Linked DNA regions of Canis lupus familiaris. The main gene of each other region encodes a partner of the protein of the gene in region 3 in a complex. Links are inferred from orthologs where the notes say so. Each region holds a gene or a part of one and is shown on either strand. Other genes may lie near its edges.

What was found. Proteins that work in one complex are often made in the same cells at the same time.
Region 1: CNOT11 (region 3) and CNOT6 share a complex: the UniProt entries of both Homo sapiens proteins name them as parts of the CCR4-NOT complex. The link is inferred for Canis lupus familiaris from reciprocal best matches to the Homo sapiens genes CNOT11 and CNOT6.
Region 2: CNOT11 (region 3) and CNOT6L share a complex: the UniProt entries of both Homo sapiens proteins name them as parts of the CCR4-NOT complex. The link is inferred for Canis lupus familiaris from reciprocal best matches to the Homo sapiens genes CNOT11 and CNOT6L.

Annotation. Positions count from the first base shown.
Region 1 is NC_049232.1:1,536,552-1,540,538, reverse strand, and holds the start of CNOT6 (CCR4-NOT transcription complex subunit 6), read left to right. Parts: upstream 1-1,184; 5' UTR 1,185-1,390; exon of another isoform or gene 1,391-1,459; intron 1,460-2,091; exon of another isoform or gene 2,092-2,201; intron 2,202-3,027; exon of another isoform or gene 3,028-3,155; intron 3,156-3,987. UniProt on the Homo sapiens protein: Poly(A) nuclease with 3'-5' RNase activity.
Region 2 is NC_049253.1:37,892,088-37,896,374, forward strand, and holds the start of CNOT6L (CCR4-NOT transcription complex subunit 6-like), read left to right. Parts: upstream 1-1,484; 5' UTR 1,485-1,602; coding exon 1,603-1,607; intron 1,608-1,648; exon of another isoform or gene 1,649-1,667; intron 1,668-1,680; exon of another isoform or gene 1,681-1,708; intron 1,709-2,585; exon of another isoform or gene 2,586-2,607; intron 2,608-4,287. UniProt on the Homo sapiens protein: Has 3'-5' poly(A) exoribonuclease activity for synthetic poly(A) RNA substrate.
Region 3 is NC_049231.1:42,707,142-42,709,915, forward strand, and holds the end of CNOT11 (CCR4-NOT transcription complex subunit 11), read right to left. Parts: intron 1,777-2,774; coding exon 1,680-1,776; intron 1,593-1,679; coding exon 1,395-1,592; 3' UTR 510-1,394; downstream 1-509. UniProt on the Homo sapiens protein: Component of the CCR4-NOT complex which is one of the major cellular mRNA deadenylases and is linked to various cellular processes including bulk mRNA degradation, miRNA-mediated repression, translational repression during translational initiation and general transcription regulation.

The DNA.
Region 1 (3,987 bases), on a different chromosome or scaffold from region 3:
GTGGACGGACGGCCATCCTTTCCCCATGCATGCCCCTCTAAAGAACGTTTGTTGGACGTCTCTCTCGGCCTAGACGGGGAACTTACTAGGGCCAGGGTGGGGCCGGATTCCTCTGTACAGTCTGGCTCCAGCACGGGGTCTCAGCCACCTGTCAGGAACGTGCCCCGAAGCAAGCACCATGCCCAGTGATCTCTGCTCGCCTTCCTCGCCACCTAAGGACAACAGCTTGATTTCTTTTTAAAAATATTTTATTTATTTATTCATGAGACAGAGACAGAGACAGAGAGAGAGAGGGGCAAGGGACAGGGGCAGCGGGAGAAGCAGGCTCCACGCAGGGAGCCCGACGTGGACTCGATCCCGGGGCTCCAGCATCACGGCCCGGGCTGCAGGCGGCGCTAACCCGCTGCGCCCCCCGGGCTGCCCGACAGCTCGGTTTCCGAAGGCAGACCTCGGGCTGGGGCTCTGGCTGGGACCCCTCCACCACAGCCTACTTACTGTACTGCGCGGCCCTGAATGGGCCGAAACGGGGCACGAGTTCATTTTTTCCTGCCCGTTCGAGGCAAGCAGCAGGCGGCTGCTCAGGACCGGAGGCCTCCTCGGGCAGGCCACGGCGGCGGCTGAAGTCAGGTCGCGGGCCGCCCCGCATTCCCACCAACGGACAGCGGAACGAGGGGAAGGAGGCGAGGAAACGGTGGGAAGACAGCACACAAAAGTGGACAGCCCGAGACCAGACCAGAAAGAGAGGACGGACGGCAAAACGGAGGGCAGTGGCGGGAGAGAGCAGGGACCCAGCGGGACAGAACACCGCGCGGGGCGGGAGCGGGCGGGAGCGGGCGGGAGCGGGCGGGAGCGGGGCCCCGGAGAGTGCCGGGCCGGCCCATCGCCGCGCAGCGCGGAGGGGCGCCGGGGGGCGGGGCTTGGGGAGCGACCCCCCCGCCGCACGGCGAATGGTCGCGCCCGGCAGCGGCGGCCAATGGGCGGCCGGGATGTTGGAGCGGCGGCGGCGGTCGGGGTGCTCGCTGGCTGGGGGACGGGGCCGCCGCCATGATGCTTGTTTGCTTTCAATGAAAACGAGGGGGGCGCGAAGGAGGCGGCGGCGGCGGCGGTGGAGGCGGCGTCGGCGGCGCGGAGGCGAGGGCGGCAGCGGGCGCAGCGCGGAGGGCGAGGCGGGAGGCCGAGAGGGCGGGAGGGCGTAGCGGTGGCCCGTCGGGGCGGCTGACGCGGTGGCGCTCGAAGGGGGAACAAAGAGCGGCGGCTGAGGCGGCGGCGGAGCGGCGGCGGCGCTGCAGCAGCGGGCGGGACTGGTATGGTGGTTCCACAGGTCAGACCCCGCTGCACTCACAGGGAGGAGGCGGCGGCAGCGGCGGAGGAAGGCGGCGCACCCCGAGAGGTGAGCACGGCGGGCCCGAGGCCCGGCCGGGCGCGCTCCCCGCACTGGCTGCGCGCGGGGCCCGCTCGGTCGCGGCGCGCGGGGCCACGGCGCGGGCGGTTTGAGTTGTGAGGCTGGCGAGCCCGCGGCTCGGCCGAAGCGGCGGCTGTCGGGGGCCTCCGAAGTGCGGCCGTGCTGATCCGGCCGGCTCCCAGGCCGCGCCCCCGCGCCCAGCCCGGGGGGCGGGGGGTGCTGATTGACGGCGGGGCGGGGCGGGGCGCGGGCGGGGCGCGGGCGGGGGCGGGGCGCGCCGGGGGCGGGGGCGGGGGCGGGGCGCGGGCGGCGAGCCGGGTGTCCGCGCCTCTCGGCCGGGATGGGTGGCAACTCTGGCGGAGTGGCCGTGTGGGATTGTGCGTCGTGGAGTGTGGAGCTTCGCGGTTACCGCAACGCGGTAAACCAGCGGTTGACCCCCTACCCCGAAAGTCTTTCGAATTCATCTGAACGCAGACTGGGGGGAAGTGGGCGGGAGTGACGGGGACCTGATTCAGAGGCCCTTACTTAGCCCCCGACGGAGAGATTCCTGGTATCGCTCAGAACTTACTGGAAGCAGTTTCCTCCCGTAACCCCAACCGCATGTCTCCCTTTTTATTTCTAAACACCAGTCGTTATTTTCTTTGGAAACTTTTTCTCTTTGACACTTTTCTCCCTCCCTTTCCCCCCAGAGAGCCTGCTAAGGAACACCTGTGATCTTTTCTTTAACTGTTCCCGCAGATGACAGCATTGTGCAGGTACCCTTGCTTGACCCATCTTGCGTGTACTGTGTTGAGCTGAGGTAATTTAAATAATCTGCTTGACTTTGAGTTCCCATACTTACTGTTTTCTAGGTGCGTTGTCTCATTAGTGCTAGTATGGAATTTCTTACATTCTTGTGTCTGGAAATTTCATTTTAGGGAGGAAGAGAGGGAGTATGAACTAGTGAAAAATAAAACGGCGGGTAATGGCACTGATTGTTTTTCACCGGACGCTAGGGTTTGCCATTCCAGAACAGTTCTGCAGGCTTTCCGGGCTGATGTGGTCATAGATCAAAAGGTTTTGAAGATTTTCTTTGTAATTGCTGTCAGAACAGTTGTCACAGTCTTCAGAATGTGATGTCTGTTAGAGTTAAAATTGCTTCATATTTTTTTGACCAGTGATCTAGTCTAGTCAACATGCTTTAAACAAAATATTTGAAAAGCTATGACTGTGGAAACAGACCTAGAAAGGTTCAAGTGACGTGGCCAACGTGCTTGCAGTGAAGAGGGAAAGCACATGAGTCTATGTGGTATTTGCTGGAGATTAGTTCTTTTGGGAGGGCAGAAGGTGTTTTAATGGGTAGAAATTATTTGTGGTAGTTGTGTCTCTTCAGTTTGCAGTTAAACAAGATACTAAAGTAGTCAAAACAAGAATGGAATAGAAGACAAGTTTTCTTGTGAGACTGAGAAGATTTGCTCTGAGAGTTGATACGTGCATAGTTTCAGAAGTGTCTCAGTGGTAATGTTGATGAAGAAGCCCTTTGTTTTTTTTTTTTTAATTTTTTTTTTTTATTTATTTATGATAGTCACATCAGAGAGAGAGAGAGAGGCAGAGACACAGGCAGAGGGAGAAGCAGGCAGGCTCCATGCACCGGGAGCCCGACGTGGGATTCGATCCCGGGTCTCCAGGATCGCGCCCTGGGCCAAAGGCAGGCGCTAAACCGCTGCACCCCCCAGGGATCCCTGAAGAAGCCCTTTGAATACATACTTGGTTTGTAGGTGTTTTCAGGTTTCTTAAATCTTGGTGGCAAATTGAACCTACAATTTTTGTGAAATTTCAGACTGTTTTTTTTTTTTTTTTTTTTTTAAATTTCAGACTGTTAAGTTGATTATAGAACTTGGTCCTTGCTGCAGATAAAGGCATTAAAGGAATTTGCCCACTGTACTTGTAGTGATAAATTCACATTTCGGTCAGTGCTTAGGCATTCCACTAGGTACATGTTAACCTTCTTACGTTGTTTGAAGCATAAGCGTTTTTCATATCCTAGTGCAATGAAAGGCATAATGTATGTAAGGCATACTGGAATAAATGGTCAGTGGTGCTCACAGCTGTAGACCTTGGGTCATAAGGGCAAGAGACCAATATTTGCACACTGGCAACTTCCCCATATGCAGAGTAGACTGGTTGGGAAGCCCTTCCTTTTTTTCTTTTTTTAAGATTTTATTTATTTATTCTTGAGAAACACATAGAGTCAGAGACATAGACAGAGGGAGAAGCAGACTCCCTGTGGACTCCATCCCAGGATCAACCACTGAGCTACTCATGAGCCCCTGAGAAGCTCTGCTTTTAAAGTGTTTATCGCTTTGGAAAGGTCCAAATAGGTTCAGCTAAGGACATGTATTTTAATGCAGAAAAGGCTTGGATTTGTAGGTATGCAGTGCTTGTATACGCTTTATTGTTGTGAATGGAACTTAACGTTATTGTCTAGAAAAATGTTCCAATTTCAGTGTTAATCCTTAGCTTCCATCTTGATGTACTTGTTTCCTTAAACTTGGCTGCTACTCACTTTACCAAGGTAGCCATTTTACAACAAAGTGTGATTAAGA
Region 2 (4,287 bases), on a different chromosome or scaffold from region 3:
ACGTAGTTGTACCGCGAGAAGGGAGAATCAGGCGATGAGTAGGACGGGGATGATGGCGGAGCGTCAGAGGTTCCTCAGTTTACCTTTCGCGACACAACTTCCAGGTGTTTTGCGTTGAACCAACCAACCAACCAACCAACCAACCAACCAACCAACAAAAACGCCCCATCGGAGATGTCAGGAAACCTTCTCCTTCCGTCACTTCACCTCACCTCACCTCCCCTCCCCTCACCTCACCTCCCCTCACCTGACGTCTCGTTAGCTCCCGAGCAGCGCTTCCCGCTCAGGCCGCCTCAGGCCTGCGAGCGGCAAACGGCGCCGCGTCCGGCAGGAACACCGGGTGAGGAGGGTTCGCCGGCCTCCTCCGCAGCATGGCTCTGTGGACGTGGACGTGTGACGCCCCGCCAGTCCCCCCAGCTCCGCCGGCCGCTCGAGCCAAGAAAAGAGAGTAAAAAAGCGATAAGGGCAAAGGAGAAGACGGGTGAGCGCCCTGGCAGCCACGCGCGCAGGCGCGCCACGGCCCGCGGCGGGACCGGGGACCGGGGACCGGGGGGCGGGGCCGAGGCGCGGCGCTGGAGCTCCGCCCCCTCCCCGCCCCGCCCCTCCCCTCCCCTCCCTCCCTCCCTCCCTCCTCTCCCCTCCCCCTCCCGCTCGCGCTCCCGCTCGCGCTCGCGCAGGGGAGTGTCTGAGCGCCGCCAGCCCCTCCACGTCAATCAACCCTCCTCCTCCTCCTCCTCCTCCTCCTCCTCCTCCTCCTCCTCCTCGCACTCTCCGCACCTTGTTATTAATCCCAATTCCGACCTCGCGCGGACGCCTCTCCCCGGCCCTCGGGGTTGTGAACGTGGGAGCGGGAGCGAAGGCACCGAAGGCACCGGAGCCTGGCGTCCCCGAGCGGCGGCGGCGGCAGCCTCGGGCCCGGCAGCGGCAGGCGCAGCAGCAAGCCCCGCGGCGGCAGCAGCCCCGGCGCCCGGAGGCCAAGGCCAAGGCCGGGCTCCGCGCCGCCCTCGGAGTAGCAGCCGCGGCGTGGGAGGGAGCTCGCTGCGGCGCTGGGCCGTCGCGTCGGGGGCCGCGGCCGCGGGGCCTCTCCTGGGCGCCCGGGGTCACCGTCCCGCCCCCCGCCCCCCGCCCGCCTGCCCGCTCCCGTCGGCCGCCCTCTCCGCCGCCGCCCCTGCCGTCCCTCAGGCGGCCCGGCCCGGCCCGCCCGCCCCGCGTCCCCTCCGGCCGGTGCCTCTCCCCCCGGCGGGCTGCCTGCATGTCTTTGCTGCCCTCAGCCCCGCCGCCACCGCCGCCGCCGCCTCCCCCGCCGCCGCAGCCCCAGCACCAGCAGCAGCCGCCCCGCCGCCGCCGCCGCCGCCGCCGCCCGGACCCCGGCGCGCTGAATGCAGGTGAGGGGGGGCGCGGGCCCTGCCGGTGGCGGCGGCGGCGCTGCGCGGCGCGGCGCGGCGGGGCGGGCGGGAGCGAGGCCCGCCCGTGGGTGTTTGTGTTTGCGTCTGCGGCCGCGGCCCGGAGGGAAGCATCTGTGGGGCCGGGCGCGCGCGCCGCCGTGTCTCCCCTGCCGCGGGGAAATGGCTGCTGTTGCTCCGCCTGGGCCGGAGGAAGAGAATGAGGTAGAGTGTCTGCGCCTCGGAGGAGGGTCGATGTGGGGGACACGGAAGCGTCCCCGGGAGGTGAGGTGGGAGAGCGACGAGCGTGCGTGAGGCTGTGCGAGGTGAGGCTGTGGCGGGCGGGGAGGCGGCCCGGGGACCCGGGGCCAGTGGGCGTGTGTGGGGCCGGCGCTGGCGGCCCCGGGGTGCGGGGCGGGTTCCGTGTGTCCGGGACCCCCGAGGGGCGCCCCTCCCCCGCCCCCCCGTTCCCCTCCCCCCTCTGTGGGCGCCGCGCGGGTGAAGCTGCTCGGCCGCGGCGGGCCCCGACCGGGCCGGGCCGGACCGGGGACGCGAGTGTGTGCGCCGCCCGCGCGCGGCAGCCCAGGCCGGCTGAGCTGCGGGTCGGGGCCGCGCCGCTGCTCCCGGGCCCGGCAGGAAGCGCGCCGGCCTGCAGCGCGGCCTAACCGCCTCGGCGCCCGCCCGCCCGCCTCCCGGACGCCTCCCGGACGCCTCCCGGACGCCTCCCGGACGCCCCGGCCCGCGAGCACCCGGGGCGCTGCCTCGGGCCTGGGCAGGTGAGGAGGGTCGGAGGCGGGACGCGCGCACCGCCGTCGCCTCGGCCGCCTCCGCGTCTGCTGAGGAGAGAGGCGAAGGCTTATTTTGGCTCTGGAGCTGCAGGCTCTGCCCCTCCGGGCGGCGGGACCCGAGGGAAAGAGACTCAGAGCGGTGAATCTCGGGAACACTGGCTGCGGATGGAGATCCCTTCGCCCCGTCCCTCCGCGAAGGCCCGGTGGACGGACTGTGTACACGTTTTCAGTTTTCGTCGCACATATTTTCTCGTGGGGGACATGAGTGCGATTTTTAAGATAAATTTTTTTTTTTTTCCCCCCCCGAGACGCGAGGGAAGAAATGGAAGCTGGCTTTCCTGTCCTGCGGTGTTGGTGGCATTGGATCGATTTTGTGCGTTTGAAATCGTTTTATCCTGCCTCCTAGGGGAAAGGCGTGCACACGCGGAACTGAGGAGGTTGGTGAGGAAGAGGAAGTTACTGTAGCTGTCATCGTCCCTAACTCGGCCTAGTTATCTTAGGCTGTTGAGATGGATTGTGTTCAGGGAGTTTAGCTGAGCCGTTTGTACACGTTGGAAGCACAGTATTACATTTTACTGCCTTACTGCTTCTACTTATCTATATTGCCGATCAGGATAGTCACGTACAAACAAACACGTCTCATGCACAATCTCCAAAACCTAGGTCAAGGAGCCTTTATGTTGTCTACCCAGGGTGTGTGTGTGCTCCGGGGAAGCTATTTTTGAGAGTGGTCTAAGCAAAGCGGAACTATGAAGATAAATCTGCCAATAGGTGTGCAGTGCGTTGTAGACCCAAATATAAATGGTATTTGAATGATTTATTTGCTTTACTCCGCCCTCCTTCCGTTTGCATTTCGTAAGCTCATCTAGCTGAGACCCTGTGGATGAAGTCCTGATACAGATTTGATCCTTGCAGACCATGCTCTGTATGATGGCCGGGTAGCCCTGTTTCTAAAACTGGTCTCACAAATGTTCCAGGCCGTGCACTGGGAACAAGAGTGGAGGGAAGAATAGGAGTGGAGAGCTGTTTTCTGGGACCACTGCTGGAAAAACAACATGTGTAGTTGAGTGGAAAAAGGACTTGTTTTACCTCAGAACTCTGGCTGTGCCATTTTTCTTAGCTGTTTGACCTTAGCAAGTTACCGAATGTCTGTAAGTCTCTGTTTTTTTTTTTTTTTTTTTTTTCCATTTGTAACGAGGAGATACCTTTATAGTAAGGTTGTCCTGAGGGTGGAATGAAAAAACATGTTTGGCACATAGTAGAGGCTTAGTTAAATATTCCTCCCGCAGCCCTGATTGTGGGCATTGAAAAACATGTGTAAGGACAAATACCCATTTGATAACTGAGAGCAATATTGTGTAATTGTAGGTTAAAAATCAAGGCAGTAGAACATTTCAGAGTCCTTTGATAATATATAAGGTATATATAAACTTTTAATGTTTTTTATGTCTTTCCTAGAAATAAGACTGTCATTAAAGTGGCCTAGTATATTAGTTTATAGAGACTGTCTAGTCATACTTTTTTTCCTCTGTATTTTTGAATAGGCCATCTCTCAGTTTTACTACTTTTATGATTCTGGCTATGTAGTCCTGGAAAAAATTGTACTGTATATAGCACATATACATTCCAATACAATCAAGCATTAAAATGGATCAAGAAACGAGAGTTTAGATTACTTTAACAGATTCATAAAGCATAAGTGCCAAAAAATTGCTATGTAATTCTTTGAGTTCATGTTGACTGATTTGGTAAACAAAAACTTCTTGGAATACATTCTTGGATGGTTTAGGGAAAAATCCTCAATCAACTTTGAATAGTTTTCCATTTTTATTACTCTCTGTGGAGTAGTGAATGTGCTGTTCATTTATTTTTAATTGTGGTGGAGAAAAAAAAATGATGATACAGAGTTTAAGGTAAAGGCAATGGAAAGGTTAAAGAAGGATTTTTTTTTCTTTTCTATCTTTTTAAAAATTATTTTGGTGAAGGCAGGATGAAGAGAATGTGAGGAGTTTCATTGGGTTAAGTTTGTAGTATGTCCATTTACTAAAGCCAGGTTTCCAAATTAGGCCTTATTTTTATTTATATCAGCAATGGTAAGCTTAAAAAAAAAAGACACT
Region 3 (2,774 bases):
CAGTGCTGTTGGCCATGAATTTGAGGTTGTCAGAGAATCAGTAGGTCCCGGAGCTGAGTTTGGGTTGCTTCCAACAGTGGTCCCAACTCCGCCATTCCAAAAAAGTATCTGCATAATGAACGGTTTCTTTTCCCAAACCAAGTATGTAAAACAGTGATGTCTACTTTTAGGTATGGAGAGAAATCAAGGTTGTTGCTAGCATTTTGTATGTTTAAAGGCATTCCTCTGTTACACTGGCTTGGGTTATTTCCTTTAAGCAAGTTATTTACAAATCTCTTACTTTCATAAGAACTAAGAGTACTGCTGTTTTGCCAATATTGTAAGATTAGAACTTATTTATGTTCCTCTTAAAATCACTAGGCTTGGTTTCCCTTTAACTTTTGCTGAGGGCTAAACTGGAAGGTAACTCCTGTTGAATTGATTATTTCCCTAGAAAGAATATGCTTTGAAAGTAACCTCAGTAAACTAATTTTTCATTTTCTTCAAGTAAAAAAATACACATCAGATAATATAGTTCATAAAAAACTTTAATGTAAGGCACTGTTGTCCAAAGTTAAATGAGGGATAACAGCCCACACGATGCCATCTGCCCCATCACAGGCAGCAGGTACAGTTCCCACTCAGGAAGAGATTTGACATGACAGTTCCTCAGTGGTGATACTATCTCCCAAAGCATGGACTAATAGTTTTCCTTAAAACAAAAAAGTAACTATCTTAGACTGATAACTGAAGAACAAACATCTTAAGGGGAAAAAACCCCAGAAAACCATATCAACTATTGTAGTCTTAAAAGAAGGTTTCTAAGAGTTCCCATGTTTGTAAGAGGTCCAAGAAATGCATGTCTTTTGTTGTCTAATAAGTCCCCATGACAAGAAAGGATTGTTAGAAGCATGTCCTTGGTTCAGACTGTGCTTAATGAGAAATAGGGGACTATATGCATAAATGGGTTGAAGGACCAAACTTCTATTTGCCACTTGATTCCAAAACATTCAGCTGATTTCACCTCAAGGGCAGTATGACAAATTCTTAAGAATGTCTTCATTTACTTTCATTAAATACTTTAATATAAGAACCTTAAGAAAACTGGATTCTTGATTTATTGGTAGCCTATAACTTGTGTTTTAACATTGCTCTACAGTGCTAAAGACCTTATCTACTGTCTTGCAGGAATTTTTTGGATAACCTTTACTCCTAATCATCAGTAAGACACTTCCAAGTTCTTACCAAAAATCCATCTCCAGGAGTGAGTCATCCAGGAAAGGAAAATTTTGCTTTAAGTAGATAAAGTGGTGTTTATATGCATTAGGCCAAGCAATCCACTCAAGGTTCTAACAGTTTTTAAAAATTAAGTCACAATACAGCTGAACAAGGAACGTGGTGGTTCTGATGAGGTATTATTTTGACATTTTGGTCTCAGAAGGTGTTTCTCCAGTATCCAATGTCTTCAACAACCGGAAAAGGCCAGCAGCTTCTCGTATCCTACTGAATTCAATACAGAATGCCTGCACTTCTATAAACAAGTCCTGCACATTAATAATTTTGTTTCGGATCAAGGACTGGAGAAAGACACACACAAGACGAACCAAACGATTCTGAAAAAAAGAAAGCCAGTTTTAGTGTATCCATTTTCTTGGCAGGTATTTATAAAATTTACAATTACAAAAATTTCTGTTACTTACCTGCATGTATTTGTCCTTAATTTGTTCACAAGTAGAGATGCAATTTGATATATAAAGATGAATAAATTCAGGAGGTAGATCAACAGCAGTAGTTAGTCTGTTTCATAAAGTTAAAAAGTTAGGGCTGTTAAACACTGTTAATTATATTTTATGGTTACTTATTTCTAACTTAGGATCAGTTACCTAGTTGTAAACATATTTATGTAAATGAGCCTGAGCCATTCTGCTTGTTAATAAAGGGGATTTCCATTTTTAAGTCTATACTTAGCATTACACATGGTAATTACTCATTTTTTTAAAAACATTTCTGTGTGTCCTCGGTTGAATCATAATTCAGTTAATGGTCTTCAAGCTCTCATAAGTAACATTTACTAAACCCCGATTATGCCTAAGTGCTATACGCAAGATGGTATATCTGAGAAGGAGGTATAGTTTAGTAAGTAAATAGTACACTATATATAGCTAAATGGTAAAATGAGGGGTTTACAAGAAGCAGTATAAATGAAAATATGGGAAAAGCCTTGAACTGGAACCTAGAAGTGTTCCTTATAACCTAGTGGATGCTAGGAGGAAAAATCTTGGAATCTGGGATTAGTATGGTACATTTAGGAACCTGGTGATAGAGACCCAGACAGAAGGCATGGTGGCATATTAGAATCTTGTAAAGGAAAGCTGGTATTCTCCAAAGGATTCTGTGGGATAGGAATTCCATGTTCAGATAAAGGGATACTATGCTACCTATATAGTATGAATTTCCAAAAGAAATGTGACTGTAGAACCTTTTTCCATAAGGCACTGAGGAACTAGTGCTCCAAGGAATAGTGGTGTGGTCACTTGAGATGGGGGGTGGGGAGCATAAGCAGACTTTGTCCTTTAAATTATTCTCTAGAAACAATAATATTGATAAAAAAGATGTGGTTATTCTTGGACTAAATCTGGTGAAGACAATAATGCTGTTAAGAATGTAGTGAAGGGGGAAGAAGCAAGCACTCAGAGGTAGCTCAATCCAAGGACTGAACCGGAATGAAGACCCTGAAGGAAGTGGGTGGGAGTCTTCACCGAAGGGGAAAGGCTTGAGCAGAGAATGCATAAGTG